6 linked regions of the Coturnix japonica genome follow. The protein of the gene in region 2 interacts with the protein of the main gene of each other region in a pairwise test. Links are inferred from orthologs where the notes say so. Each region holds a gene or a part of one and is shown on either strand. Other genes may lie near its edges.

The links.
Region 1: the proteins of SPRED1 (region 2) and IL16 interact in binary tests that used the Homo sapiens proteins (3 or more experiments, as listed by UniProt). The link is inferred for Coturnix japonica from reciprocal best matches to the Homo sapiens genes SPRED1 and IL16.
Region 3: the proteins of SPRED1 (region 2) and CDKN1A interact in binary tests that used the Homo sapiens proteins (3 or more experiments, as listed by UniProt). The link is inferred for Coturnix japonica from reciprocal best matches to the Homo sapiens genes SPRED1 and CDKN1A.
Region 4: the proteins of SPRED1 (region 2) and NCALD interact in binary tests that used the Homo sapiens proteins (3 or more experiments, as listed by UniProt). The link is inferred for Coturnix japonica from reciprocal best matches to the Homo sapiens genes SPRED1 and NCALD.
Region 5: the proteins of SPRED1 (region 2) and HPCAL4 interact in binary tests that used the Homo sapiens proteins (3 or more experiments, as listed by UniProt). The link is inferred for Coturnix japonica from reciprocal best matches to the Homo sapiens genes SPRED1 and HPCAL4.
Region 6: the proteins of SPRED1 (region 2) and PPP1CA interact in binary tests that used the Homo sapiens proteins (3 or more experiments, as listed by UniProt). The link is inferred for Coturnix japonica from reciprocal best matches to the Homo sapiens genes SPRED1 and PPP1CA.

What each region holds. Positions count from the first base shown.
Region 1 is NC_029525.1:10,822,204-10,826,959, forward strand, and holds part of IL16 (pro-interleukin-16), read right to left. Parts: intron 3,856-4,756; coding exon 3,672-3,855; intron 3,203-3,671; coding exon 3,101-3,202; intron 2,711-3,100; coding exon 2,458-2,710; intron 1,529-2,457; coding exon 1,403-1,528; intron 1,146-1,402; coding exon 952-1,145; 3' UTR 1-951. UniProt on the Homo sapiens protein: Interleukin-16 stimulates a migratory response in CD4+ lymphocytes, monocytes, and eosinophils. Primes CD4+ T-cells for IL-2 and IL-15 responsiveness. Also induces T-lymphocyte expression of interleukin 2 receptor. Ligand for CD4.
Region 2 is NC_029520.1:25,909,268-25,913,353, forward strand, and holds the end of SPRED1 (sprouty-related, EVH1 domain-containing protein 1), read left to right. Parts: intron 1-540; coding exon 541-1,200; 3' UTR 1,201-2,877; downstream 2,878-4,086. UniProt on the Homo sapiens protein: Tyrosine kinase substrate that inhibits growth-factor-mediated activation of MAP kinase. Negatively regulates hematopoiesis of bone marrow.
Region 3 is NC_029541.1:1,947,618-1,952,988, forward strand, and holds CDKN1A (cyclin-dependent kinase inhibitor 1), read left to right. Parts: upstream 1-1,856; 5' UTR 1,857-1,978; intron 1,979-2,360; 5' UTR 2,361-2,365; coding exon 2,366-2,747; intron 2,748-3,070; coding exon 3,071-3,120; 3' UTR 3,121-4,029; downstream 4,030-5,371. Other genes in the region: RAB44 (ras-related protein Rab-44), read left to right, coding at 5,337-5,371. UniProt on the Homo sapiens protein: Plays an important role in controlling cell cycle progression and DNA damage-induced G2 arrest. Involved in p53/TP53 mediated inhibition of cellular proliferation in response to DNA damage.
Region 4 is NC_029517.1:116,695,366-116,700,121, forward strand, and holds part of NCALD (neurocalcin-delta), read right to left. Parts: intron 2,050-4,756; 5' UTR 2,031-2,049; coding exon 1,653-2,030; intron 1-1,652. UniProt on the Homo sapiens protein: May be involved in the calcium-dependent regulation of rhodopsin phosphorylation. Binds three calcium ions.
Region 5 is NC_029538.1:4,839,533-4,844,879, forward strand, and holds HPCAL4 (hippocalcin-like protein 4), read right to left. Parts: upstream 3,579-5,347; 5' UTR 3,306-3,578; coding exon of another isoform or gene 3,288-3,305; coding exon 3,233-3,287; intron 2,683-3,232; coding exon 2,513-2,682; intron 2,395-2,512; coding exon 2,179-2,394; intron 1,981-2,178; coding exon 1,783-1,980; 3' UTR 1,160-1,782; downstream 1-1,159. Other genes in the region: NT5C1A (cytosolic 5'-nucleotidase 1A), read right to left, coding at 1-21; protein FAM49A-like, read left to right, coding at 3,258-3,305. UniProt on the Homo sapiens protein: May be involved in the calcium-dependent regulation of rhodopsin phosphorylation.
Region 6 is NC_029520.1:169,517-174,816, forward strand, and holds PPP1CA (serine/threonine-protein phosphatase PP1-alpha catalytic subunit), read right to left. Parts: upstream 3,328-5,300; 5' UTR 3,178-3,327; coding exon 3,018-3,177; intron 2,625-3,017; coding exon 2,493-2,624; intron 2,413-2,492; coding exon 2,182-2,412; intron 1,788-2,181; coding exon 1,683-1,787; intron 1,610-1,682; coding exon 1,386-1,609; intron 1,215-1,385; coding exon 1,080-1,214; intron 998-1,079; coding exon 887-997; 3' UTR 699-886; downstream 1-698. Other genes in the region: cell cycle checkpoint control protein RAD9A, read left to right, coding at 18-122, 236-443, 525-623; CARNS1 (carnosine synthase 1), read left to right, coding at 4,507-4,509, 4,792-5,023, 5,177-5,266. UniProt on the Homo sapiens protein: Protein phosphatase that associates with over 200 regulatory proteins to form highly specific holoenzymes which dephosphorylate hundreds of biological targets.

The sequences.
Region 1 (4,756 bases), on a different chromosome or scaffold from region 2:
ATCAGAGATGCAAATGTCAAAGCAAAGATTATCCTGTAACATCCTGGAGTGCCTCCCAGTGAGATGTGCTGCTTCTGACAGTGTGTTCGCGCTTCTTTTGATCCTGACAGATAACAGGAAATAAAGGCAACAGAGAAAACATTGAAAGTGAGGTAAGATGAGCACCATTGGAAGAGGGGGGGAAAAAAGAGATCCAACTAACCTTGGTGGTTCTGTGTCAGTTTTTATATTGTTTTGGGTGAGGACGCCTTTGGCAAATAACACTGAGGTAATCTGATGTATTCTGTGCTCGTGGAATTCTATACAGCATATGGGAGAGTGGTACCAGAATACGGGCAGCAGCATTTGCAGCATAGTTTTGTGTCTGAATTACTGTTTCCAGAGTAAAAGTTTGAATTCAGAAGGTTGAATTTCTAAATAATGACACTTTTCCTTACAAAGTGATACAAAGATATTTAAAAATAACATGCCCTCTTGTTTCTAGATGGCCTTGCTGTTCTGCTCTGGTCCTGTGAGATCTGTGATCAAAGGAAGGTTGGAAAACCTTCACTCTATTACCCTCAGCTTCCTGCCTCACCCTTGAAAAATACCATGAGATGCAAAACTAGTAAAGCAGAATTGAACACTTTGTTGCAGAACGTGCTCTCAGTCTGTAGAATGGCTTAAAATAAGAGTACTGCAGCGCTTTCACATCTTAGTACAACCAGTATATTATTTATAAAGTCATTTTTTGTTATCATTTGACACTGAAACAATTTTCTGAAATAGTAATCATGTACGTTTTGTTCACATCTCCTTTCATCCCAAACAGCTTTCTCTAACAGGCAGTAGAATTGTATGTATCTTTCATATACAGTTTGAGTATCTCGCCGTAGTAGCCAGATGTCTGTAAGTGATAAACCACAACATCTCTTTTTGCTTGTAATATTGGCAGTAGTCTAATTACTCCTCTTACAAAGTTTCAGATGCCTTCTTGGTAACAGTGCTTGGATTCTTTCTTTTGATGATAGCTGTGATGGGCCCATCAGGCAATGCCTTGATTATATTCCATGCTTCAAAACGAGTGAGTCCTTGCAAGGCTGTAGTATGCACTTGTAATAGCTCATCACCGGGCTGAACTGGGCTGCTTTGCTCCAATGAGGTCCCTGCAGGGGGAGGAAGAAAAAATAGTAAGAATTCTCTCTGTATGGGGGAGTTTTTAATTAATCTTTCACTCATTAGGGTTCATCATCATGTTTGGTATAAATCGCCTGTTCCAGGAGGCAAAAACTACTTGTATTGGATGGGATAATGCTGCATTTACAAAATATCCCTTTTTAACAAGTATAAATCAGCAGTCAGTTATGAACTATGCTACTCTATCAACAAAGAACCTGCCAGCTACACGCTGAAGTGTGTTTACCTTTAAATATCCTGTTGATGATGATGGGTTTATCTCCATGAATGGAGCCCTTTCCACCTTCCAGACTGAATCCCAAACCAGCAGCTGTTTTTTCTAGAGTTATAGTGTAGTTTGTGTCTTCGGTTGCTGGAAATAAATTGAAAATTAGCAGGTGGGCACAAAAATACCTGGAAAACTATAAGATCTGTTAAAAAAATAAATGAGCTTTAATTTGATTTGACATTAGTTTTGAAATTCTTATTCACCAGAAAGCTGCAACTTAATCTGCCCATGTAGTTGTGGATGTCGCCACCTGCTACATCAATCACCAGCATGTTGTTTAAACCAGTAACTCTTTCACAAAGGAAAATAGTCTTATGAAGTGAAAACTTCAAATTAGAAACCATCATATTAGAATTCAGAATCAATGACTATTTACTTTAACTGCAGTTAGGCCTGTTACTAGAATAACAGCATTTACATGTGTTCAGAAATTAATATGGAGGATCTCACAGTTGGTTGTTGGTTGGTTTTCTGGTTTGGTCTGATTTTTTTCAGTGTTCATTTACTTTAGAAATCCATTAATTCTTTCCCAAGTTATCTTAAATATCTCTTTTAATAAATTAATATTAAATATCTCTTTTAATAAATTCTCTTATTCAGGAATGTCTCACAAACCGTGTTGTCCCTGATCGCGATTCTCAGATTTACCCAGCCAGTGCTGAGCAGCTCCATGAGTACCCATGATTTCAGGTGATGATATTAGAATCACAGAATCATCAAGGTTAGAAAGACCAGTAAGATCATCAAGTCCAACCATCAGCCCGTGTCTGTGACCGCTCCAGACCATGTTGCTCAGCACAGTGTCTGCCCTATTCTTGAAAACCTCCTGAGATCGTTATTCCACCACCTGCCTGGGCAGCCTGTTTCAATACCTCACCACTCTTTGTGAGAAGAAATGGTTCCTAATATCCAACCTGAACCTTCCTTGACTTAAAGCCATTACCTCTCATCCTGTCAAACGCTGATTAAACACTGAGCAGGTAGTGGCTGCGAGGTAATACTGCTGAACTTACCTGATTCTTGTGAGGCATCACTTGCAACTGAAGATGTGCTAGAGCCAATTGAAACGTTGTGACTTTTGTCTTCATCTTTTGCTTTTCTAGTGACAACAACTGCTTGTCTGGGTTGTCGAGCTTGTCGCATGATCACTGAGGCATCGTTGTGAGTCGCCCCTTTAAAAGACTTTCCATTAATGGAAAGTACTTCATCACCTTTCTGAATAGTTCCTTCCTGAGATGCTAGTCCATTGGGAAACACCTTGTGAACCTATTGAAAAGCCCCATTACCACACAGGCATGCAAGAAAAGAGGGAAAAAAAAAAAAAAAAAAAAAAAAAAAAAGGAAAGAAATTACTCAGTTATTAGTTTTCACTTGTGTATTTTCCATTCTTTGCAAGGTGGTTGCTTCCTGTTGTTGGCTTTAAGAACTGTTGTGTGGGAGGGTGGTACCCAAGGAAATGGGGTGCTCCTGCTAATAATTACGTGGAGAAGAAACCTCTGTGCATTCTCACAACCAAGATTTTTCTGACCCTGTGTGAACAGCTGCCTACTTTAATTATGCCAAAAGCCAACCTTGGTAGTAGAAAACCAGCAAGTTATATGTATTTTTAGAGAGAGTAGTTGTTTCAGAGTATTTTTTGAGAAAGATGCTACTTACTGTTATCACTTTGTTTTCTAGATCTACACCCCCTGCCAGGCTGAATCCAAGCCCAGTGTTTTCTTCTTTATGCAGAATTGTAACGTGAATATCATCTAATTCCTAGGCAGAAAAATAAATTGTGTCAAGAACATCCTAATACATACATTGAGTTGACTGGAAAATCCATGCATTTTCTATTTGCCCACTGAGCACTTAGTAATGAGGATTTAAGCATAATGCTGAGACATCTTAAATGTTTTGTTTTGATCACATTTCCTTATCAATTACCTCTATTATGAAATGTTATGTCCAAAACTGTAACATTTATGTAAACATGAGTCAATTAGATCTGACTATAATTTTAATCAAATTTAAGAGTATGATAGAGTAAGAAAATGCTTAATGATATAAGTGCAGAAAAAGAGGAAAAAATAATCTGGCTTGCAGCTCATGGATATTAGTTCCACAGCTTAAACATTTCTTCCAAGTTTTATCTGTGATAACATGAAGTTGCAAAGCCGAACCAGGCATGTCCAATCCATGTACTAAAAATCAAATCGAAAATCACACCGAATAAAGGCTCATTTACCTTTAAGGTTGCTTCATCTAGTGATTTGACTTCCTCTATGAGCTTTGCTAACTCTTCAGGGGAAAGAAGAGAGATGACAGACTGCCCTGACACACCGGATGCTTGAGGTGAGCCTTGTTCCTGTTTCTCTTCTTCTTTCTCGCTATCTGCTAAGCTCACAGTGTATTCTCTCAGCTCAGAGAGGCTGTCCCATTGTGAAAGGAATGAAAAAGAAACACTGAGTTATGAAAGGACATACAAAAGCACAGAGCAGACACTTCTGGAGCAGTCATCTTTAGATTCCCCCATGAGTTCCTCTCATAAGTGTTACGAATACATTCGTATATTGTATTAGCCTAGCAGAAGTAGGATCAGTCATATAGAATAATCATCTCTTGGCTCTAGGCTAACACGGATCTAAATAAACATTCTGTGGTTTTTGTTGCTGCTTTTGTTCTTCAGTTTCTCATTTTCATGTGATTGTAATGATCTTCTCTGAGAATGCAAACAGTAGATTTTTGTTATTATTTCTTGTAATCTGTACAGTAGATTTTTGAAAGAAGGCTTGTATGTGCTTTTGAAGTATTTTGCTAAGAGTACCTCTATTGATTTTTGTTGTTTCCCCCAATCTTTGACTAACTGAAAATGCATACAAAACATTAAGGGAGGCAAGCTTAGTATTGTTGGTGCCTTTTGTCCTGGGGGATACCTGTGCCCTGCTCTGGCTACATCACCTTCATGTATTTGAGCCAGACCTGCTTCTTTTTAGACCTGATGTAATATTATTTCAGTGATATGCAGCAAAACCAAGGGCAAATGTGAGGAGCATCAGGATGTTTGCACCGTCTCATCACAGTGACTAGCTACAGCTAGTTTAATTTTGGGAAGCCATAAGGTTTTCACATCTTCTGGAAGGAACATACTAAAATTCCTCTGTTTCCTCACTGGTACATGCAGTAATGATGTCTGTTTCACTTTCTGTTTCTACCACTGAGTCACTAGAAATGCTCATGAACAAGGTGGAAGCTTGAAATATGTCTGTGCTTATTAAAAAAACAAATTTACAAGCTGTGTGGGTCATCCTGCCAATCTCTATTTGTTTTTTA
Region 2 (4,086 bases):
CTTCAACAAACAGTATTCTTTCACGCGGCAAAATCTGGAACACAGCTTTGTATAATCAATATTTAATACATCATAGCAGAACTGGGGAAAATTTTAAAACTCAGAGCAAGAGTGAAGGCTGTGGATAACGTATCTTAGATAACATGAGAGAGTCAGCATGAGTTCATCAGGGAGTTAATCCTAGAGGTTGTCACTAATACATGAGACTGGCAAAGTGACATCATTGATCTGTATTAATTGCTAATGTGAGATGTTAAATCCAAATTTTGAGGCTATTCTGAAGCACAGTGTGAAGTTTTATGTGGATACCAACATGTCCAGAGCTCTTGTTAGGCATAAAATATTAGGAGGGCATATGAAACCTTGTGGTGCTAGTATCAAGAGGAAGTCCATAAGTGGTATACTGGTAAGAGAGCTGGAAAGCCTATTTACATGCAACAAGGAAAAAAAAAAAATCCCCCACTCTTAATTATTTGCATTATATGTGAACATAAATTTGAGACTTAACTGTAGTAAACTAATCTCACTTTGTCATTTCAGGTCCCATTGAAGCCGATCAGACACGTTAGCTTTCAGGATGAAGACGAAATCGTTAGAATAAACCCTCGTGATATTTTGATACGTCGTTATGCAGACTACAGGCATCCTGACATGTGGAAGAACGACCTGGAGAGGGATGACGCAGACTCAAATATACCATTTTCTAAATCAGACAGTAAAAAATCTGACTATTTATATCCGTGTGGGGATGGGACTAAGTTGAATTCCCTGAAAGACTCAAAGAGTTCTGTGGTATTTAAAACTCAGCCTTCCTCATCAAAATTTAAAAACTCAAAAAGAAGAAAAGAGGATGGTGAGCGTTCCCGCTGTATATACTGCCAGGAAAGGTTTAATCATGAAGATAACGGCAGAGGAAAATGTCAAGATGCTCCGGATCCTATTAAAAGATGTATCTACCAAGTTAGTTGCATGCTTTGCGCAGAGAGCATGCTGTATCACTGCATGTCAGACTCGGAAGGAGACTTCTCTGATCCTTGCTCGTGTGACACTAGCGATGACAAGTTCTGCTTACGCTGGTTAGCACTGGTAGCGCTGTCGTTCATTGCTCCGTGTATGTGCTGCTACCTCCCCTTGAGAGCATGCCATCACTGCGGTGAGGCGTGTGGGTGCTGTGGAGGGAAGCATAAAGCTGCAGGATGAATCAGTCTTGTGCCAAACAGAGCTGAAAATCTTTGTTTCCAGGAAGCATCTAACTTGGATTTGTGGAAGCTTTTTGGCAAGCCGAAGGGAATCTTCTTTCACGTAAGAGATGCTCGATGTGGAAGAAGCAACAAGACTTGTCAGACCTTGGCATTTTACAAGTGCTTGCCACGCCTGACTGTTTCCTTTGAGCGCGTGGCGTTCGTTGCGAGTTGTGAAGGAGATTTTGCAAAGGAAAGCCTGTTCTTATTATTGGCTATAAAATGAGTATATAAACTATGATTATACTAAAAGGGATTAACTTTTGCCACTTTGTACATTCATGGTTTAGGTGAGGGGGCTCTTTTAAAAGGATTAAAACTTACCTGAGGGGAAATTTTAACTAAAAGTGCACTAGTGACAGTTGATTTAAGATTAAGAAAAGTTAATACTCGGCAATTGAGAAATGAAACTGATTTTAAGTGCAACTAAATCACTTATTAATAGTTTTTTGGAAGCGACTTTATGTATAAATAACAAATGTTTATATTTAACTAAATGTGTAAGGTACGAATTATTACATGTTAAACTTCCCTTCCCTCTGGTCTAGTAGGTATGGACCATATCTACTGTCACATTCCATTGTAGTACTTTAAATATTTAATTAGTTAATTTAGTTGCATTTTTATTCCAGATGGACAAATTGATATTTTCAGTCCTGTTTCCCTTCAGCTACAGTTTGTGTTGAGTTGTATCCATACATTCTGATAATCTAAAAACTTTTAAAATATTAATTATTCTAGTCTTGAGTGACCAATATTTTTTGTTAAGCACAGATGTAATTGTCTAAAATGTTCTTGTTAGAACATAACATTTATTTTTATATATAAATGACTTTGATTTCAACATAATAGCAAAAAGGAAGTTGTTTCTGTTGCTCAACCAGCAAGTTGTTTTCTTTTGGGGCATCCTCCAGAAAATACTTTATTACGTATACAGACGTTCATTAAGCAAAAGGTACATTAAGGCAGTTGTAACGAGTTGTCATCAGTGTTCTTGTTTATCTTTCTGTTAAACTAGGATCCTGTTCAACTGTTTATCGAGTACTATGATTAAAACAAAAGATTAATAACAAAAGTCAAATCGTTTTCATTATTTTGAACTGCAACTTTTTCTTACTTGAACGTGCAAGAACAAAGCCACTGGCTTTGAACAAAGGAAAGACTGCAGAAGTCTCGAGAAGTAAGCCCAGGCAAAACTGGAGTGAACTTAATGGAGTGAATTAGGAGGGAACCTGGGGAGTGGGATGGGGGAGTGCGTGTATACACACGTGGTGCTGTGCATATTTGGTACAGCTTTGTATTCACTATGTGTTTAATTTTCAGAAAAGAATTAAGCAGTTAACCCTTAGAGAATTTTTTGAAAACATATTTTGCTGTCGTGAAGTAAGAAGCATTTGCTTCTCATTAAAAAATATGTAAAACTATAAAAATAATCATTCGGTAGGGTAAGTGCCAATTTGTTGTTGCAGCTGGAATGGGGCGGACCGTCCTCAGAGTATCCCACATTAAACAAAAGCAATTGAGTTGAAAAGATGCGTGTAACTTTTCTCACCCTATGTATTTTTCAGTGTCGCTTGTGTACTTTGGTGCCCTTAGTTTTCTTTTGTAGCACAGAATTAAAGGAAACAAACATGTACATCATCTGTCCGTGAGTTACTTTTTAAAAGAAAACACTAATATTTACATTATGACTTGAATTGACCACGTTATGTACATAGCTCATCTCAAAGTATTATTTCACATTGAAAAGAAGAAGCATTATTGATAACTGTAGTAGTTACGAAAGAGCTTCCAGTTTCATAATGAGTTGGTCGGATGAATTAAGTCCACAAATCTGATGCTGTAGCAGCAGTCTTTGTTTTTACTGTTAATATATTTGCTGCTGCTCTGGTTGATTGTCATGCTGAGCACGTCTTCAGCTGAACTTGGTTTCCTGGAATAGACTGTTAACCTTAAAAGGATAAAATATAAACTAGTAATGTCTGCCTTGTGAATGGGATGCATTTCATATTTTTCAGTGCTAGGTTCCTAACTCAAGGTGAAGAGGGGAGTGAATGACCCAAGAACAGAACTCGCTGGCTTTATAGGTAAATACTGTAGAATCCTACTCTGTATATACTGCAGAAGGAAATGAACTTAATTCCTTCTGAGCACTAGTACTGTATTTTATATGAAACATATCTGCTTTAATATTTTTACTGAATGTGTGCATTAATATTCTCGTTTTGCATTTAACTGCTTTGCTAAACTGTGTTCATCTTTTTGCCTTCCCCTTTAAAGACTTGTTCCATCTGAAAAAAAAGGTTGGTGACGTTTCACAGTGTTCACTTTCCTTTTTGTGATGGAACTTGCAGCCTGCATGCCCGTTCTGAGATTAGTGAAGAGAAATGCAGAAGTACAGTTACATAAGGGGTGCTTTTGGTAGGATGCACGCATCCTTTTTTCTCTCCTGGTGTTAGGGATCCTATTCACGCTTGCAGTTAGGAGTAACAAATGGTGTTTGCAGATCAAACCCTTCGCAGAAACGGGCTTTTAAATCTGTGCGTCTTTTTGTTTTTGACAGCAAATAAAATCTTTTCTCCTCTGAGCCGTTTTCTTAAGCGTTTGGAAAACGAGACATTCCTTCCCCAGCCCTGACCCCCCTCTCCCTGGGCATCAGAGCTGGAGCTTGCCAGGCATGCGGCAGCGGAGCTTTGTGCTGCTTGGAGGGGAGACCCGAGCCTTGGGAAACCGTCGGTGCATACTAAGTCCTTCTCTCACCGAGAGCCTCAGTTACCGTGAAAATTAAACGTTTCCTTTTGAAAGGAAGTGGGGGAAGCCAATGGATAGCGGCGCTCGTCCGCCA
Region 3 (5,371 bases), on a different chromosome or scaffold from region 2:
CAACTTTATCCCCATCCCCATCACAACCTTATCCCATCCCCACTTTAACCCAATCCCAACCCCATCCCACCCCCATCTCATCCTCATCCCATCCCAACCCCATCCCTGCCCCCATCTCATCCCCACCTTAACCCCATCCCAACCCCAACCCCATTTCAAACCCATCCCAACTTTATCCCCATCCTCATCTCAACCTCATCCCAACCCCAACCCCATCTCAAACCCATCCCAACTTTATCCCCAACCCCATCTCAACCTCATCCCAACCTCATCCCAACCCCATCCCAACCCCAACCCCATCTCAAACCCATCCCAACCCCATCTCAACCTCATCCCAACCCCATCCCCATCTCAACCCCATCCCATCCCAACCCCATCCCAACTTTATCCCATCCCCATCTCAACCTCATCCCATCCCCACCTTAACCCCATCCCATCCTCAACCCCATCATCATCCCAACTTGATCCTATCCCCATCCCATCTCATCTCCATCCCAAGCCCATACCAACACCCTCCCATCACCATCCCAACTTCATTCCCAACCCCATCTCATCCCCATCTCATCCCAACTTCATCCCCAACACCATTCCATCCCTAACCCCATTCCATCTCATCCCCATCCCAACCCCATCTCATCCCAACCCCACCTCAACCCTATCCCATCCCAACTTTATCCCATCCCCATCTCATTCTAACTTCATTCCCAACCCCATCCCATCCCCATCCCCATTCCACCTCCATCCCAACCCCATCCCATCCCCAACTCCATTCCATCTCCATCCCATCCTATCCCCATGCACACCACAGAGGTTGCCCTTCCACGTGCTGGCTCCCCCTGGGATGCAGCCAAACCGATTGCATTCATCTCACATCGCTTTGCTTCATTCTTGCCTCACTGCAGCATCGCTCCTGCTCTTCCTCCATCAGTCATCATTGCAGATCACACTCCTCCATCAGCTTCAAGAAGCTGCCAGCTCTGACAGCCTCATTCTCACCCCACATCCAGAAGGATCCAACCCCAAAGCGACCACCTTGGCCTGGCCCAGAGCTGCAGGAGGAACTGATGCTGGACAACACTGCTGTGTGACGCACTGCCTGCAGCCGGACATGTCCAAACATATCCTTTATCTGCTGGGAAATGCTGGTTCAGCCTGGGAACGGATGCATTGGGGGGCTTTGCACGGGGGGCTTTGCACACTGCAGGGCTCAGCTGCAGCCCACCAGCTGCAGGCTCACCCAGCTTAGTGCACCGCCTGCCTTTGTGCTGCCATCTCCTTGCACCCCAAGCACTGTTTGCTGCCCAAACCCAATTCCTTCCCCCTATGCCCCCTGCAGCCCACCCAGCTGAGCCCTGGCACTGTGCTGTAACCCTGACGGGGAGCTGCACAGCGCTCAGACCTCCCCTGCTGTGTTTTGGGGGGGGTCATTTTGCAGCGGGGCCACACGTCCCTGCATGCAACCCGCAGCTTTGCTGCATGCAGGACATGCACGGGCTTGTTCCTGCTGCTTGCTGACCTCAGGCCAACCGGAGCTCCCCAGCCCAGCTGCATTGCTGGGGGGTCCGCTGGTAGAGCAGAGCCCACCTCGGGGGCAAAGCACCCAGGGGTGGTCCCATAGGACCCCCACCCCAACCCCCGTCACTCCCCATCATTGCAGCATCCCGTGGTGACCCAGGAGGGGCCCTTTTTACTCTTCAATTGGCAAAGCCGTATTGAAGACCCTCCCGCATCCTTCGCGTTGTATGGGGGGGGGGGGGGTCCCGCATCGCACAGTAGGCGACGACCCGCTTTCCATATGGGGGTCCGTGCAGCCCTATGGGGGGGGGCACTGAACCCCCCCCCCGATAACAGCTGCTCTGCGGTGGGGCGGGGGGGGGAAATCCCGAGCGACGCCGTGAGGCCCCTCCCACCCTCCCTGCCCCGATATAAAGGGCGGAGTGCGGGGCTGGGAACCGCAGAGAGCGACGGGGAGTGTGGGGTGAGTGCGGTGCTGGTGTCGGTACTGGGGGGGGGAAAAGAAGGGAAGGGAGAGAAACCCCAATGGGGGGTGATTGGGGACGGGGTCGGGGGGGCTTTGACAGCTCCGCTCCTCCTGTGGGCCGGACCGGGTCGGACCGGGACATGCTGGGACTTGTCTTGCTCTGAGCTCACCCCGCTGATAGGAAGCGGCTATTTTTAAGTGACCCATCCCGGGGGGGGGCAGAGCGGTCCCTCATCTATTAACGCAGTTCTGTCCGGGTTCAATGACCCCCTGTGCCAGCCTGCCCTATAGCCGAGATCATTAACACCCCAGGGGTCCTGGGGGCTCCCATTATATGCACTGGACTCATATCCCCCCCTCTATATCCCCCTCCCCACAGCCGCAATGCCGCTGGCGCAGAGCAGGACCGGCCCGATGCCGTGCAGCAGCAAAGCGTGCAGGAACCTCTTCGGCCCCGTGGACCACGAACAGATCCGGAACGACTTCGAGGAGCTGCTGAGGCAACAGCTGGAAGAAGCTCAGAGACGTTGGAACTTCAACTTCGAGACGGAGACGCCCCTGGATGGGCACTTCAAGTGGGAGAGGGTCCTGATGGCCGAGCAGCCCCCCCGGGTAGAGCCCGGCAGCAACGGGAGCTCAGCACCACGCAGGGTCCCCAGTAAGGATGGTGTCGGTGGGGCTCGTTGTGGGGCAGCCCAGCAGAGCTCGGAGCAAACCAGGGTCGGTTCTGCACAGCACTTGAAGCGGGGGCAGACCACTGTTAAAGGTGAGTGGTGGAGGGGGGATGCCCCTCATGCCATGGGACCACCCTTAGCACAGAACCATCTTTGGAGGGGAGAGGCAGCAGAACCAGCCTCGGGTGTCCCATAGGTAAAAAATACCCCCATATGGATCACCAACCTCAGTTCCCATGGCCCAAAAGTGGCTCAGCAGTGGGGATGTGATGGGACCAAGTGATGCACAGCCCCATAAATGCGGGGCTTTGAAGCTATGAGCCCACCTGGCTGGGGCTGGGGTTGGGGTTGGGGTTGGGTTGCTGCCCCCTCCTTCTGCTCCTGATACATCCCAACTTCTCTTCTTGCCCTGCAGACTTCTACAGCTCCAAGAGAAGAGTCGTCCATGACAAGCCCAGGCTGTGACTGCTGCTGGGGATGGATGCTGATGCTGCCGTGCCCTGGAGGCTGTCGTGGCTCTTTCCCTGCCCTGCACTGTCTGTACAAAGCGATACCGAGTCTATAGTTCCCTATTTATGAGTAGCTCTGGGGTCCTGAGTGGCCCATGCTGTGTGCAATGTATAGGAGGAGCCCACGGGAAGGACTAAGGACTGGAATGGAGCAGGTGGGGCTGAGGGTGTCTCCTGCCCCGTGCTGGTGTTGCCCAGCAGCATCCTGCTGTCTCATGGAGCAGCCCCATGGCCCTCCCTGCTGTGGATCACTGGGTGTGAGCCCTGCATGGAGCTGCTCCCAGTGTGACTCAGTGATGTGTTGGTCACACAGTGGTGACAAATGTACTTGGAGGTGTGTACCCTTGAGGCCGGCACAGCTCGGGAGGCACTGGGCTGCTCCAGGCTGTGCTGCCCCATTGGGTTCTTGGCGTGGTGTTGGCTGGCTGTGCATCGTGCAATGCTGACATTAAGCTGGATGTTGAGCTGCTGCTTGGCACTGCCAGCAGGGGCTGCCCCTGCAAGAAGTGCCAGCTTTTCTCCTGGACTATTTCCTACTCCAGAGCCTGACCTGGCTCCTGCTGTTGTCTCTGTGACCCAGGGATGCCCTATAGGACACAGCCCTGCTCTGGGTGCTGTCGGATCTCAGCACTTTCACTGGTTTCCCCCTCTCTGTATTGGGATTGGGATTGGCACGGGGTGTTCCCATGTAGAGGAGGAGGGTGCTGCTCCCAGCTCATACCGTGATGCACTTTGCTGTCAGAGATGCTGGCAAGTGCCCAGCATTCAATGTTTATTTATGAAAACACTGTTTTAAGGCTTCTTGGAAGGGGAAAGAACCTGTTTGTCTGCGAGTGTAACTGAATAAACACTTGTCTGGTGGAAAGAGAAGGGGTGGCTGTTAATGGGAATGGCTGTTAATGGGAATGACTGCTGTGGGGTGTGCTATGGGGGGTGGGGGGATGTTATGTGTGGGTTGGGGGTTGCTTTAAGGGTGCAGCCACAGAGGTGCAGTTTGATGCTGGTGGGGAAGGAGCTGTGATGTATCTGTGGGGGGGTTTGGGATGTCCAGCTGTGGGATGGATCCAGCAGGACAGGGATGGGGGCTCCTGCTGTGGGTTGGGGTCTATGGGTGGGTTGGGATCCATTGCTGAGCCCTTTGTGGTGCTGCAAACAGGAAACGTGTGCACGTACCGGCAGTTGAGTGCAACCCCAAAGCGGAAGGCTGCCTTGAGTAAGAGAGAGAATGACGGTGTGGGGCCGGGAGGTGCACAGCAGCGATGCAGGCTGTGTGAGGCTGATGACCCCCCAGCCCTGGGGAGCCCCACAGTGTAACCAGGCAGCACCACCCCAAAACTGAGAGCACGTGGAGAAGGTAAGGTTTGCTCAAGGGGGGGTTTGGTGTTAGGGATGCAGGGCTGATGCCTGGCCCTATAACCATCAGTGGTGACCCTCAGGCTGCCCCTCAGCAGGAAGCATCTCAGACAGCAGCCAGTGTTGAAGTGCCTTTGGTGTTTATTTTACAGCTTTTTCCGTGTTTGGTGCCTCTGTTTCATGGCACGCAATGGGCTCCGCTCGCTCTGTGGGGCAGGGGGAGGCACCGAGGGGACTTCTTGCATCATAACCTCTCCCATAACCCCCCTAAATGCTGCTGCTTTGGCTCTTAGAGGGGCTGGGACCATAGAATGGGGGTAACCCGCATCCTGACCCCCCCCTCCCCTTCCTTGGGGCTCTGCTGACCTCATAGGATGTCCCCTCCCCCCACTGATGCTGTGGGGTGGTGCTGCATGGGAGTCGAAGGGGATGGGGACCATTTTGGGGCCCATTCCTTATTTCCAGTTCACTTTAGGGCTTGGCATTGCCAGAGGAAGGGTGGGACAATGTGGGGGGTTCCCCCTCTCTCACTTCTAGTCCCAATTTGGGCACATTTCAGAGCCATGAGGTCGAGGTGGGGGTGTGAATAGAAACCTCCCCGAGGTCACAGGAGGTGACTCAGGGCTGTGAAAGCTGGAGGAGGGATGTTCAGAGATGCTGAGGAGCTCCTGGAGCCTCCATCACCCCCCACCTCCCTGCACTGTGCCATCCAAGCAGAGAGAAGTGCCTGTTTTCCTATTGCCAAACCCACTCAGGTTTCACCCTTCTGGGCTGTTTAATGGGTTTCTGGTTGCCCTCAGCAGATCCCCACTGTGAGCCATGGCTGAGCAGCGTGTGGGCTCCAAAGGGCGGCG
Region 4 (4,756 bases), on a different chromosome or scaffold from region 2:
CACTGCCTCCTATACTGCAGGTTCACTTTGTAGTGGCAGCATGGTTGTACAAGATAGTGCTATAATTTGGTACCAAGATACTGACAAAGGTGGCCAAGCATTTCAGCCTCTAAGCATGCTGGTGAGCAGGTCTGTGGTCACTGGGAAAAGCTGTTATTTCTGCTGGTCCCTGCTTGGAGCACTACAGAGATCCCAACCATCGAGACTCTAAATTTGATATGAACACACCTGTGGCCTTGTTCTCTGTATCTGTAAACCTCCTGATTTGGGGATGTATGTTGCTACTGAGCACTTGTGCCTCCTGTAAACAGGAGTCAGCCTTTGATGTCTCCTCCCAGGGAGAAGTCATTTGCTAGGGCTGGGATCCCTTGGTCTTTGCTTTGTGTTTTCTTTGTTCCTTAGGGATTCTCTTGTTATTTTTCATGACGAGAAGTATAGCTAGAAAAAACGTACTGGCAGCCTGTATCCTGGCCCATAGGGGTGGAAGATTTGAAGGAATGGAGTTTCTTCTAATGCAAATATGCCACTGCACTGAGACTGTGTGGTGTCTGTTTGCTCGGGGCAGCCCTGCTTCTTAGTCCAGAATTTGGAGCACAAAACAAAATTGGTGGAAAACAACACAACAACTCTACATTTGCAACCGAGCCAAGTATCTGCTCTTACTGAAGGAGTGTGTTTGTTACTGTTCGGAGGACACAGAAGACCCCTGACAGAAAGACAAGGGCATCACACATTACACTGATTCCATACACACAGCTTGACATCACAGGCTGTAATTTGTATGTGTATTCTTTTCCCTTCATTTCCAGTACAAATACAAATCTGCATAATACAGTACATAGCAAGCACTGCAAAATTACCAATGAAATGAAGGATCTGATAACAGGCTTTTTTTTTATTATTCTTTTTTGAACGATGCTGCATTACACAGACTCAAGCTGTGTAAATACGCGACTGCACCAAAAATGTTTTAAAGCTTTGAGTAGAGTGACGTACCTCGAGGGTAAAAACATGTTAGAGAAAGACACAGAATGAGGTGGGACTCCTATTAACAGCACAAGAAAATGCATCCAAAGAAGTAGTGTATGGAAACTTCATCTATCCAATGAAGGTTTATCTGTACTGGCAAGTTAATACAAAGATAGCTGGTACGGTATTAAGTATACAGACCATGCTGGAATTAGACAGATGTGTTTTAAAATACATGGGCTGTTTTTTCATAACAACATGATTTCAAAGCAGATTTCTTATTGAGGGAGCCTCCCTTCCTTAAAAGTAGGCTATCTGGCTAATCTAAGATGCCTGCTTGGTCCAACTGTAATTAACTGTAATTAGTTGGCAGTGATTTCCCAGAGGGCAGAAGCACACTAATCAGCAGGCTAACTGCTCCACTCCAACACAGCACAGCTCCTGGAGGAGAGCTTCCTGTGCAGTGTATCACTCAGAAAATCAGACTGGATATCAAATGCTGGAGGATGAATTGTGACAAACCTTAGCCAAAAGAAATAGCATTTTACATTCGAGTATTATACAGAGAATCAGAACATCAATCCCCAGTGCCGCCACAATTTTCACCCAGCTTTCATTCTGGCATTGCTCCATGACATGTTTGGAATGAGGGAGGTGAAGGGGTGCCTTTGAGCAGCACATACCTGTACGATTTCCAGCATCTCTGACTTACTGATGTAGCCATTCCCATCGAGATCATACATGCTGAATGCCCACTTCAGCTTCTGCTCCAGTTTACCTCTCGACGTCACGCTCAAGGCTATGATGAATTCTCTGAAATCTATTGTTCCATCTCCATTGGCATCAAAAGTGCGGAACACATGTTCCGCAAACTTAGAAGCGTCCCCATAAGGGAAAAAATTGGCGTAGATTTTTTTAAACTCCTCCATGGATAAGTGTCCACTTGGGCAGTCTCTCAAGAAGCCCTTGTACCACTCCTGGATCTCGTGTTCTGTAAAGTCTGTACTTTCTAGCAAATCTTGCATGACTTCAGGGCGTAGCTTGCTGTTCTGCTTTCCCATGTTGGTGTCAAAATGTTACCTACAGAGGAAAAAAAAAAAACCCCTTCATTTTAGTTATAATAGTCATAATTATTAATAACAATTAGCTTGAAGGCTGCAAAAGAACAGCGTACTGGAGTTTTCTGACAACTTGGGAATCAACTGAAAGTTTTGACAGTGTCTCCTGCTAGAAGCACACTCTGAAAAAACTAACAAGCCTCTCCTACATGTTATTTATTTTACCCTTTCACAGTGTAGAGAACTGTCATTGCACTGAATTTATTGCCATCCTACTTTCCCTTTTCAACCCCCATGTAAGCAATGGATGATATGAGGTGCAGGCTGACTGGTAGCTGTGTGCCACAGCACGTCCTTTAGCCAACTCAACCAGCTCAGGGACCTTACCCCAAAAAGTGACTTTTATTTAACTTAATTAATGGTATCAGAATGCATCTACCGTGGGCACAGAAACCAGGAGCTCCAAAGAACTTCTGGATACATCTTCATGAGTCAATTAGAGCAACCCATACTTTGCCTCTCTTGTTTGTCATGGATCAAATCCCATTTTATTTCGAATGCAGAAAAAATCTGGGCAGATTTTATGAACGGTGGATTCCCCATCCCCAAAATATGGGGGGGGTTGTTGTTGGTGGGGTTTTTTTGTTGGGTTTATTTTTGTTGGTATGCTTGTTTAAAATTCTCCTTGTAGCCAGAAATTGGAGTTCTTAGTAAGTAGCAGTAGTCTGGGTGGTCACGACCCTTTGAAAACAAAACCTTTTTAAGAAAGGGAGAAAAAAAGGATAAAGTATCCAGACAACAACACTGGAAATTCATTTCACTGAAATTACCAGTTAAGAAAAATTCCTTTACCTCCACCATTTCAGTTAAATCGCTTTAATTATATTTTATTTAAGGCAAGTTGCTACACATCACACTGTGCAGCAGATTTACTAACGATTGGAGTTGTTTGGATTTTAAGGTTCAGAGCCTGGGTGTGTTGGCTCCAAAGGACAGTGCCATCATTTGTCCTGGAAGTTTAGTGTTACACCTGAAATGTGGGGAGGGACGCTTTGTCGACAGAAACCTGCCTGAGAATTCATCAGGGGAACGACAGTCACAGCTGAAATCTGATGTGTGGACAAGTTAAGTAGAACTGCAAAATAATTTATACAAGACTCCCACGCTGTTGTCAGAGCAGAGTCTCTGAGATGCCGAGATGGATTTATGAACGATGCCTGGAGTGGCAAATGAATGTTCAGTAAAATGTCCTTTCCGGATCAAGGTAATACTTTTAAAAAGCACAGAATAAAACAGAATCATTAAGTGACAGCAGCAGCTACTGAGAAACGCACTACAATTTGAAGCTCAGCTCCTGCCTCTCCTATATGACACTAGGAAAGAGAAACAGGGGCTCCCCCTAACTGATGTTTATTGTTTCCTGTGGAAAGAAGCTGAATTCTCACAGGGAGAATTTGAACTCCTCAAGGCAGTTGGAGGACTGTCTCCTTCATCTCCTACATTCTTGAACCACAGCAACCTGAAAGCTTTATTTCTCAGAGATGAGATGGCAGGATCCATCTTAGATCTGCCTCCACAGGCTCCACCAGCTGCATGTCTGAGCTCCTAGAGCCAATGGAGCGGATGCGCCCTGCTCATGGACAGGAGGCTGACACACTGACGAGTCCTGTCCACTGGGAGCTCCTGCATCTCCTGCCCGCTTCAAGGGTCTGCACAACTAGCTCAATCCAAATTATGTCTTTTCTTCCCGAAGGATTTCCTAGACACTTGGAAAGTGGAAGATGCCACCTCAAAGATAATTTTTGACTACTACACTTCCTCCTGATGAAAACCTACATATAGTTCTTCAGTCATCCAAGCTCTTACTACCCTGAAAATGTCAGAAATGTCCCTGTTCTATAGACCCAGTTCAACAGCTGAGTGTTGCGTTGCCTTCAGTGGGTGTTGGTTGGGATTCCCAGTAAACAACATGGGTGCAAGCTGAGTGCACAGATCACATTAGACACAATTGTGCTAAGCAAAATGGCAGGAGTGAGGTCTTCCAGCAGGATGGAAAAGCACTTCGGCAAGTGAAGCGGCAAGGCTTAGTTTAAAATGGCACCATTTTAATAAAAGCAATGCAGCAAAATCCCACAGCACTTAGTATCTACTCATGCCTGCAGCCTGCAGCTGCCCCACAGCCCCTGCTCTGCAGACACTGAAGGAGGGAGGGAAGATCTCTGAACCACGCACAAGCCAGCTGCAGTGGGAGCAGGCTGGCATTAGCAGCATAATCCCTTGCTGCTTTTTAATACCTCAAACATTTGGGAATGCAAAGCTCAGCCTGTGCACTTCCAGTCTGGAGTCTTATGAAAATAGTATTCGGTCTCTGGCGTTCATGAGATAACCAACAATGTGTTTCAGACCAAAAAATGATGCATTTATAGCTGCAGATAGCTGCAGGTCTAATCTATTTTTTACCAAGGAATCAAAAAAAGACAGGATAACAGGATGCACTGCATTTTATTGCTAGCTGCAAAACATTGCCATCAGGAAAAATTCTGTGTTCTCCAGGCACGAAGGGAGAACCAACCTTATGTGGTTCAGCAAGGGGCAGAAACTTGCAGCCACTGTGATACCAAGCAATGAAGTCAAAAGCCATAGAATTTTTCTTGAGCCCACTTACAATGAATTTGTATCATGGTCCTCGCCCTCTGACTTGTTCATTATTAATAGGTGCTGTTCTAGGA
Region 5 (5,347 bases), on a different chromosome or scaffold from region 2:
CCCCGCCGCCCCCAGCCCCATATTCGGGAGAACGGAGCCCTCCAGGGCTGGGACAGTCGCGGGGCAGCGGAGCTCAGGGCTGGGGGAGAAGCGCTGCTGCACGGAGGTGCCCCCAGCTGAGGATCGCTCCGCTCCGTGCGCGGCTCCGAGTGGTCGCGGTGTTGTAGGGCTGGGGTGGGAGGGGGCTGCAGGGAGACCACCGCCCCAGCGCGGAGCACAGCCCTCTGTCTGCCCAGGAGAGCGGCTCAGGTGCCCCCTCCCCTGCCCTGCAGTTCAGCCCGGGGTGCCCAGGGCTCAGCCAGCTGCTCGCACCCCAAGCCCTTGGGGACGCCCTTCTGGGAGCTGAGCGCCACTCCAGCCCCATCGCGGGCTCCTTTTCCCCGGAGCTTTCGCAGTTCTCTGCGGCAAATCCTCCAGCTTCCTCCGGGAAGGGCCCGAGGGGAACCAGAATTTCTCATTCCCACCATCCTGAGCCGCTGCTCTTTACACGGCAGCGCTGGCACATTCCCATTTGTCCCCACAGCGCGTGTGACCTGCACCGTCCCCCCCCTCCCCGCTGAGCTGCACGTTGCTCCCGGGTGGGCACAGAGCTGCCCCTCAGCAGCGCTCCCGGGAACGCACGTGCTGCTTTGGCACCGTCCCATCCTCCTTCTCAGGACTGGGAGATGTGGGAGTACTGCGGGGTGGAAGGGGAGCCGCATTTCTGCCTGCGAGCTGAGCCAGAACTGCTGCTAAATCCGGAGAAGCACTTAAAGTTGGTGAGAGCTCCTTAGCAACAGGCACTGTCTGTGCAGGCTGCCGATGGGAAGAACGAAACGTGCAGGGAAGGGGGGCGTGAGGGCGGAGGGTTGATGAGCAGCAGCAGCACGTCCCAGGTCCCAGCGGCTGGCGGTGCTGCAGCGGGCCCAGGATGCAGCCCCCAACCCGGAGGCAGCTGGGACCCAATCTTGGGGGGCACGTGAAACGCCCAGTCCTACCCCACACACACCCAATACGACATTATTCCTTCCCAAAGCTTCGTGCACAGCTGCAGGGTTACATTACACCACCTCCTGTGTAAGGACCGATCCCTCCCCAGCATGTCACAGGCTCCAGGGAGCCCCAAAATGATGCTCAGGAGCGTTGCTCTCCCCCTGCTGAGCCATTCAGGGGGAACACAACCAATGGGGGACAGTTTATTTTTCCATTAAAAAAGAGAAAAAGAAGGAAAAAAAGTAGGTAACTCCACAGCCTCCTAACAGATATCACAGTCATCGTCACCACAATGTGCTGAATAAATACCACTCAGTGACAGTATCGCTGTCCTGGGGCAGAAGGGGCAGAGGCCGGGGCTGGGACAGCAGACACTGCAGCAGTCAGCAGGGCCAGAAACACTCTGGGCACCCTCAGTAGCACAAGGGCAGTTCCAGGAGTCACCCACCGGAGATGGGGTGGTTTCTGGGATCCAAGGGTGGCCTTGGGCGCTTCCTGAAGTCCCCTGACCAACCCTTGGCTATTCCCACCATCAAAAGCAGAAGCAGAAAATCTTCAGCTGGGTGAGGGGGGTGGAGAGGGCAGGACAAAACCTAGGACCAGTTCTGAGCCCCAGCAGCCCCCATGGGGTGCTGCCAGGTCTATTTTAGGGGACCTGGAGCTGGCAGTGCCCAGGAGCAGAGCTGAGGGGTGGCAGCAGGAACAGAGCACAGGACCAAGCAGGCAAGGGGCACCAGCAGGGCATGGGGATGGAAACCATCATGGGGAGCCGAGGTTGGATGCAGCCAGTCCAGCCCTGAGCCCCAGGCCCTATTTCTGCACATCACCCTGCAGCAGGAGGATGATGGAGGGGTCACTCTTGGCTGCCTCCTTGAACTCCTCTAAGGAGATCTGGTCATCCTTGTCCTTGTCCATCTTTGTGAAGATCTTGTCGACGCGTTGCTGGGGCGTCAGCCCGTCTTGGTTCATCCGCATCATGATCACAGTCCCCACCATCCTGTAGATGGCCTGGAGCAGGGAGAGGAGCGGGGTGGGAGCTGGGTGGCCAGGAGGTGCTGAGACAAGGCAGAGCTGCTGCCCTACGCAGCCACCTTTCAGCCAAGGTTCCAGACACCAAAACCCATTTTTTCATGGCCAGATGGGCCCCAAACCTGTGAAAAACCCACATAAAAATGCAAGGTGCCCCACTTATCGGAGCAGCAGTACCTCAATGATCTCCAGCATCTCCAGGCGTGTGATCTTCCCGTCCCCATCCAGGTCGTACATCTCAAAGGCCCAGTTGAGTTTCTGCTCAAAGGTCCCCCTGGAGGTGACAGACAGGGCACAGATGAACTCTCGGAAGTCGATGGTGCCGTCGCTGTTCTTGTCGAAGGTGCGGAAGGCGTGCTGGGCAAACTTGGAGGCGTCACCATAGGGGAAAAACTGCGGGTGGATGAAAGGAGAGAGATCGGAACGGGGAGGGGAGCCCAGAGGGAGCACAGCCCGACACAGCAGGAGAGGGGAGCTCCTGCCCCACAGGCTGTGCCCGATCAGAGCCCACCTTGATGTAGAGCTGCTGGAACTCCTCCAGGTTGAGGATGCCGGTGGGGCAGTCCTTGAGGAAGCCCTTGTACCACTGCTTCAGCTCCTGCTCACTGAACTCCGTGCTCCTCACCAGGTCTTCCAGCACCTCCGGGGCCAGTTTGCTGCTGTGCTTGCCCATGGCTGTGCCTGGGATGGGAAGTGTGGGGCTCTGGATGCCGGCTACAGGGTGGCTGCGCTCCCCAGCGCCCCATCGACCCCACAGCCCTCCCACAACGGAGCTGACCCTCCCGGCTGGTGGCACTCACACGCTGCCAAATGTCACTGCAGTTCTGTGCCACTGGCATCGAAGTGAGGAGAAGTCTCACCTGCATCACCCAACCCACAGCACTGCATTGTGTGGGCAGCACACGCAGCAGCTCCAATGATACACACTGTGCCCACAGCGGCTCCAATGATACACACTGTGCCCGCTCCCACACAGCCCTGGCTGCCGCTGCTCAGCCCGAGCAGCTGAGGGTTTGATGAGGGCTCCCGAGCTGCTCTCCATGGAGAGAGTTGAGGACACGCTCTCTGGAGCCCGACCGAAGCCCCATCGCCCGTTGTGCACCCAGTTTTCCAGGCTTGGGGAACTCTGGGGCACTTTGGGATGACGGGCCCCACGCCGAGCACACGCGGCGGGCAGAGGCCGCATCCTGCCCAGCAACAGAACAGCATCCCTCCATCAGCTGCCACCCACCGCCGTCAGAGATGGAGCCGAGGGAATGTCCGGACATCGCATGGACCCGCTGCATTTCCCCCCTCCAACACCGGTCAGAGCTGCATCCCCGAGACGGAGAGAGCACGGGGAGGGACGGGGCGGTCGGGCTGAGGGATGGCACTCGTGGGCGGGGGGGCAGCTCGGAGGCTCCATCCGCTCCATCCGCAGCAACGCGGCCCCGACGGCCCCGACCCCGACGGCCGCCCCGCCCCGTCCCGGGCAGCGGCTCCCAGCCCCGCCGCCCCCCCCCGTTACCTGTCCGTGCGGAGCGGCCACGAGCGAAGCCGGTTCCGCCGTCGGGCAGCGCTGCCGCCCCCGGCTCTGCCCGCGCCGCTCCCGCCCCTCCCGCAGCCTCCAGCACCGCCCGACTATTGGCTGCGGGCGCTGCCAGTCGGTGGTGGGTGGGGGGCGAGAAATGAGGAGCTGGGGGCTGGAAAGGGAAATGGGCGGCCGGGGGCGGCAGCACCGATGTCCGAGGGGTCCCAGCCCGGAGCGGAGTCCCCGCAGCTCCCGCCCCGCTGCTGCCCGGGGCTGATGCTCGTTCCCAGCGCCAGAAGCGGAACGTTTCCATAGCGGTGGCTCTGCCTCTCCCCGCTGACCTTCCCTCCCCCCGGGCCGTGGGGCAGCGCCTGCAGCCACCGGGGGTGGGACGGAGCCGCGGGGCCACCCGAAATCTCCGCGTGAATCTTCCCCCGCCGACGGGGCCAGAGAAACGGTTTATATGAGGCACAAATATTTGCAGCTGTGCACACACAGCGCGGCTGCGGGGATCCAGCACTCCGGGGGGCCACGGCCGGATCCCCTCGGACCCCTCGGACCCCTCCGGGCCCGATGCGCGGCCCCTGCGCCACGCCGTGCCCGTGTGCGGGGAGGGATGGGGGGATCCCCACCCGAGGCTACACGGGTGGGAAGAGGCGGGGAGGGGGCACGGCGGGGGACACGGCCAAGGACTGTGCGGTGCCCCCTCCCCGCGGCTCCCGGCGGGGCCGCCGTGGGGTGTCACCCCGCTGAATGCCCCGTTTTCCGCTGCTCGGAACCTTCCACCCGCGGCGGCTGCGGGGATGGAGGCACCGCGGGTGACAGTGACGCCGAGCGGGTCCCTCTCGCTGCACCCCCCGCCACCCTCCCACCAGCCGGGACCCCCCGAGATAAGGGCAGGAATGAGGAGAAGCGTCGCCCCGGGCCCCCGGCACCGACCCCCGCGGTGCGAGGCGTCCCCTCGTCCTGCAGCGCGCAGAGACCCGCAGGGCCGCGGATGCCGCCGGCCGGCACGCAGCGGGTTAAGCGTCCCCGGCTCCCTCGCACTTGAGACGTCACCGTCCCCGGTGGCGTGGGGGGGCCGGGGGCCATGGGGGGCTTTGTGGTGCAGTCGGCAGCCGGCGCAGGGCTCGCACGCAGCGGCGGGCGGCTCTTCCCCCCGCACCTGCGTTGCGGGAGCGACCGCACGCACCGGGCGCTGCCGCCGCCCGCGCCACCACGGTGAGAACGGGGCCGGGTCGGGGCGGGGGGCGGCGGGGGGCCCTGGAGGGGGGGGCGGGAGGGTGCAGCCACCGGGATGCTGCAGCCCGGGGGGGGCTTTGCGGCTCCGCACCCCGGAGCCATGCGGTAAATCGGCCGCATCCGCAGTGGGGCCGTAGGGGGGGGGAGGGTGGGTGCATTGCTGGGGGGTTCGGCCCCTAAAGGGGCGGGGGGGGGGGGCAGCGCCGGGGGTCGCCCAGGGGCAGGATCCAGCCCTGGTGCTACGGTGCCCCCGCTGGGAGGGATGCTCGTGGAGATGGTGCAGTGCATTGGAAATAATCCTGGGGACACCACGGGCGTGGCTGGGGGGGGGACCCTGCCGTCCCCAGCGCTGCAACGGCTGCGTGCAGCCCTCAGTGCGTGGAGTGTCCTTCGTGGGGGATTTGGGCTGCGTGGTCCCTGCATGGTGACGGGCACAGGGAGGTAGGGATCAAATCTCCTCCTGAGAGCTCCCCCGAGTGGGATGTGCTGCCCCCCAGGTGTCCCCCCTCACATCATGGGACAGTGTGGGGGGAGTAGAAATGGTGCAAAGGGAGCAATGAACCTCAGACCCCACAGGGCACCGCGGGGACATAG
Region 6 (5,300 bases), about 26 Mb from region 2:
TCCCTGTTTGCCCCCAGGCCAGCCATCTTCACCCTGGATGACTCCCTCATGGAGGCACACCTTGTCCTGGCCACCCTTCTGGACCCAGAGGGTGACTCACAGCCAACACCTGCCACCAATGGGTAACATCCCGTTGCCATCAGTCAGGATCAGAGTGAAGGGCCCCATGCTGCCAGCAGCAGGGACCGGTGAACGGTCCTAATGCTGCCCATCATTTACTCACTGTCCCCTCTAGCAGCGTCTCCCACCCACCTGCCCCTTCTGATGACTTTGCCGATGACCTCGAGTCCTACATGGTGGCTTTGGAAAGCAGCGCCTGCGAGGGGGAGGCAGGAGCACCCCCCAGCCCCACCTTCCCCCTGCATACTCCTCGCCCCGCAGAGAGCAACCCAGAGGAAGAGGAGGAGGACAGGGCTGTGCCAGGGACACCCCCTCACAAGAAGGTGTGGGACAGGAACCAGAATGGGGGGAGGGAACAGGACAGGCACGGCCCCCTCACCCTGTGTCTTTTCACCCCCCCAAAGTTCCGCTCGTTGTTTTTTGGCTCCGTGCTGACACCGGGGGGGCCTGGCCCAGCCCCCAGCCAGGAGGTGCTGGCAGAGGACAGCGATGCCGAATGCTGAGAGCCCCCATTGCGATGCCATGGCGCAGCAGCTGGCACTGCCTGGCCACGTAGGGTGTGATCCTAAAGCCACATCTTAAGACCCATTACAAGTTTATTCCCCAAAAAAAGCCTCCTGCCCTGCCTTCACTGCCAACTGAGGGGCGGGTCCTGCCCCAGAGGGTACATTTGGTACAGTAGAAAGCGGCAAGGGCAGGATCTGACAAATAAAAAAACGAATGGAGAAAGGAGCGACCTGGTGCTGGGGCTGCTGGCGGTGGACACTCACTTCTTGGCTTTGGCAGAGTTGCGTGGTGGGGTGACGGGGCGGCCAGCAGGGTTCAGCCCACTGAACTGCCCGTACTTGCCCTTGTTCTTGTCTGCTGGTTTCAGAATCTGCAAGGAAGTGAAGGGTGAGTGAAGGGGCTGCAGGCAGAGCCCTGTGTGCTGCCCCCTCCCCGGCAAAGCCCCAGCTCACTTGGAAGGAGCACATGAGGGTCTCGTCCACACTCATCATGGCTCCTGCGTTGTCAAACTCCCCGCAGTAGTTGGGTGCAGAGAAGAGGGTGACAAGCTGGCGTTTGGCAAAGAACTCGTAGCCGTCCTCCACCACCTGTGGGGCAGCAGCACTCATATCTCCCTGTTCTCTGTCCATAGAGCCCACCAACTCCCCCAGGGGGCAGCATCCCCTTCAAAAGAGCCCAACCACATCCTCAAGAGCAAATGGCCCCTCCTGGGAAAAGCTCCACCGTTATGGAGCCCAGGTGAGGCCCGACCCCATTACCTGGTGTGCCCTGCAGATGAGATCGAGGTCATGCTTGTGCAGGAACTTGGCCACCACCTCGGCCCCAAAGGTGAAGGACACTCCTCTGTCATTTTCACCCCATCCTAAGACATCTTTGTCAGGGTCAGACCACAGGAGATCACACAGCAGGCCCTGGTCGGGTACGTCCGTGGGTCGCATGATGCGCCGGATCTGTTCCATCGACTGCAAGTCAGGAGACAGCCCTGCACAGGAGTGTCAGGTTATGCTGTGTGGCGGCCTTTGGACCCAGGCGGCAGCCCCCAGCCCTGTGCCCACCTCCGTGACAGCAGAATATCTTCTCATCCACAATTGCTGCAATTGGTAAACAGTTAAAACAATCGGTGAAGGTTTTCCACAGCTTGATGTTGTATCGCCGCTTGCCTGTGAGGCAGCGGGGTGGGTGCTCACAGGAGCCCTTCATGTGGGCCATGTTCCACCCTCCCCACCCTCTGGTGTATCACAACACACACAGGGCAGCACTGAACCCTCCAGGGGGCTGGGGGGGTGGCCGTGGAGGTGGCTGGGATGGGGGTATGAGGTCTGCAGGAGGAGGTAGCTGGGATGGGGCATAAGGTCTGCAGGAGGAGATGGCTGGGATGGGGGCATAAGGTCTGCAGGAGAAAGTAGCTGGGATGAACATAAGGTCTGCAGGAGATGGGAAGAGCTGCAAATGGGGATGGAAGGGGGGACTTTGGGCTGGCTGTATCATATGGGGTTGGCAGTGAGGTGACAAGGCAGTCCCGTTTGTCAGTAGTGGGGCCGGTGCAGCACTCACACTCATCATAGAAGCCGTAGATGCGGTTGATGCTGGCACATTCGTGGTTGCCACGCAGCAGGAAAAAGTTCTCCGGGTATTTAATTTTGTAGGCCAATAGAAGACAAATTGTTTCTAAAGACTGCTTTCCTCTGTCAACATAGTCACCAAGGAATAGGTAGTTGCTCTCTGGTGGAAAGCCTCCATATTCAAAGAGCCGAAGCAAGTCATAGTATTGTCCATGGATGTCGCCTGTAAGAAGATCGCGGGGGACACGCGGTGACGCTGGCTCCCAGCCCGCCCCCTTCCCCTCCCCCCGGCTCGTCGCTCACCGCAGATCTTGAGCGGAGCCTCGAGCTCCAGCAGGATGGGCTGGCTCAGGAATATCTCCCGTGACTTCAGGCACAGCCCCCGGATCTCGTTCTCTGTCAGCTGCACGTTCTTCCCAGGCCGTGAGCCTTGCACTGTGCGGGGGTGGCTTTCAGCAGAGCCCACTCCACCCCCGGAGCCCGCAGAGCCGCCGTGCCCTAACAGTCCCGCACTAACGCACGGCCCTCCCGGTGCCCCCGGCCCTCTGCAGCCACCCCCCATCCGCCCCGATCGCCCGCAGCCCCCCTCATTCCCACAGCCCCCAGCGGCTCCCACCGCCCGGCTCCCCCCGGCCCCCCGCTGCCCCGATACCCCCCGCTGCCCCACAGCCCCACAGTTGGACCCCCAGAGCCTCGCACGGCCCCCGTTTCCCCGCAGGCCCCGGCCCGCAGCCCCGTTCTCCAGCCCCTCCTTGGCGGCACAGCGCCGGTCCTTCCCTCCCCTAGCGGCTCCCGAGGCGGTCCGGGAGCACTAGGCCCATCGCTCACCCTCCAGGAGGCGGCCGATGATGGAGTCGAGGTTGAGCTTCTCGGTATCCGCCATGGCCGCCGGACGCTGCTTCCCCCCCCCGCCCTGGCCCGCCCCGGTCCCGGCCCCGCGGCCATAGAGAGCGGCCGGGGCGAGCGGCGGGTGGCGAGAGCGCCCCATGGCGGATGGGAGGCCGCGGAGGCGCGTGGGGGCTGCGCGCTCCCACGAGGCGGCGCCGTGTCGTTCCCCGTGCCGGCCGGTTGCCCGGCGGCTGTTGCCGTTGTCAGCCTCGCGGCGCGTGGGGAGCCCCGCGGGGACGTGTGCCGAGAGACACGGTGCTGCCACCGGCTCCACCCGCCTCACTTGTGCCCCTCGTGCCGCCGTGCCGCCCCCACGTGCAGTACGAGCCGCGCGGTGCCGGCACAGCCTGGCCCGTTGCCCGCGGTGACACCGGTGACATTTCAGCCCCGCGGTGTCAGCTGCGCCGCTGTCCCCGAACGACCCCGGCAACTGTCCCCGCTCCGCTGCCGGCTGCGTGTCCCGCTGCTCGTGTCCCGCCTCCCCGTGTCCCCCGATCCGTGCGGCCCCACGTCGCGGTGTGCTCACATCCCGTGTCTCCGTGCCCCGGCTCCTCCGATCTACCCGTCCCCACCCCGACGTTGCTCTGTCACCACGTCCCCCACTCTCAGATCCCCCTTTTCCCGTATCTTCCCTTATCTCCGTATCCTCCGATTTACCCGTCGCTACGTCCCCGTGCCTCGTATTCCCAAATCCCCGTGTCCCCGGATCCCCGTAACCCCACAGATCCTTCTCCCCGTGCTCCCTCGTTCCCCATCTCCATTTCCCCATACGCCCCAGATGTTCTCATGCCCTCGCATCCTTGTCTCCACGCCCCATAGTTCCCTCACACCCCACACCTGATACCCCGCACCCCTGAATCCTGGTGCCCGCACACCCCGCACACCCCCCATTCCCTCTCTCCCCCCCTTCCCCGCCCCGCCCCGCGCCCTCCCCCGGGGACGCCCTTCTGCCACCGAAGGCGCCTCCGCCGCCGGTGCAGAACGGGCACGGCTCCGCGGGCACCGCCGCCACGACCGCCCGAAAGCGACAGCGACCGCCGGTGGGTGCAGGCGGCGCCCGCTCCACGCGTGTCCGAGGGTGTTGGCGTGCGCCGTGCTGCGCGTGTCCGGCGGTGAAATCGCGGGCAGCCGTTGCGCTAAGCCGGGGGACGTGCGGGGCGGCACCGAGCGGCGCCGGGGACGGGCGGGTGGAAGCCGGGGACAATAGGGCTCTGTGCCGCTAAGCCCGGGCACGGGGCCGCCCCACTGCCAGCGGCCACGCGTGACTGCGGGGCACGGCTCTTCCCGGTGGGGCCGTGTGGCCGCACGCCTCAGTGTCCCTCCGGGAGCACGGTGGCACGGCGCGGTACCAGTGGGGCCGACGGTGCGGGCTGCGCCCTGCTCACCGCGACCCCTCTCCCGTCTCTCGCAGCCTCCCGACGCCCGCAACATGGTGAGTGGCGGCCCGGGGTCTGCGGGCGGGGGGCCCCTTCCCCTTTCCCGGCGGGGCTGGGTGGTGCCGGGTGTTCCGTGTGGCAGCGCCGTGCCCACCGCCTCCGCGTGACCCCGCGGGGACAAGGGGACGCTTTGTCCGTGGGCTGGCACCGCTCCCGGGCACCCCGACACCACCGCCCCAGCGACGTCCCGTGGCTGCCCGATGCCTCCCCTGAACCCGCGGCCCCCGTGCCCGTTGCCGTGCCCGTGGCGGTGCCAGCTCCGCCGTGCCCTGTGACAGCTCTCTGTGGACCGGCTGAGCGCGGAGCAGGCGCTGGACATGAAGGAGCAGGAGTGGGCCGGCCCCGAGGCATTGTGCCCGGGCTGGCAGGAGGAGGAGGTGCCCGACGGCGAGGGACCCGGGGACAGAGCGCACCCCGACCCCACCGCCCACGCCTACGAGGTGCTGCAGCGCACCCTGCGCCTGGAGGGGTGGCCCCTCACCATAGACCGCACCGCCCAGCCACGCACCGGTACGGAGGCGCTGGTATGGGTATGGGTGGTGGGGGTGGTGGCCTGGGGGTGCAGTGCCAGGCTGGGGTGGTGGCACAGCCAGGCTGGGGACACCGGGCTGCTCGCATGGGGTGGCGGTGTGTCCCAGGCACCCTACCATTGCCTTGCCGTAGGATCTGGCCCGCTGGATATGACTGTGTGCATCCTGGGCTCCCCCACTGCCTTCCTGCCAATCTTGCTGGAGGGTGGCACCCGCTGCCCAGGTGAGTAACGGCCCCGTTCCCCCTGCCCAGCACC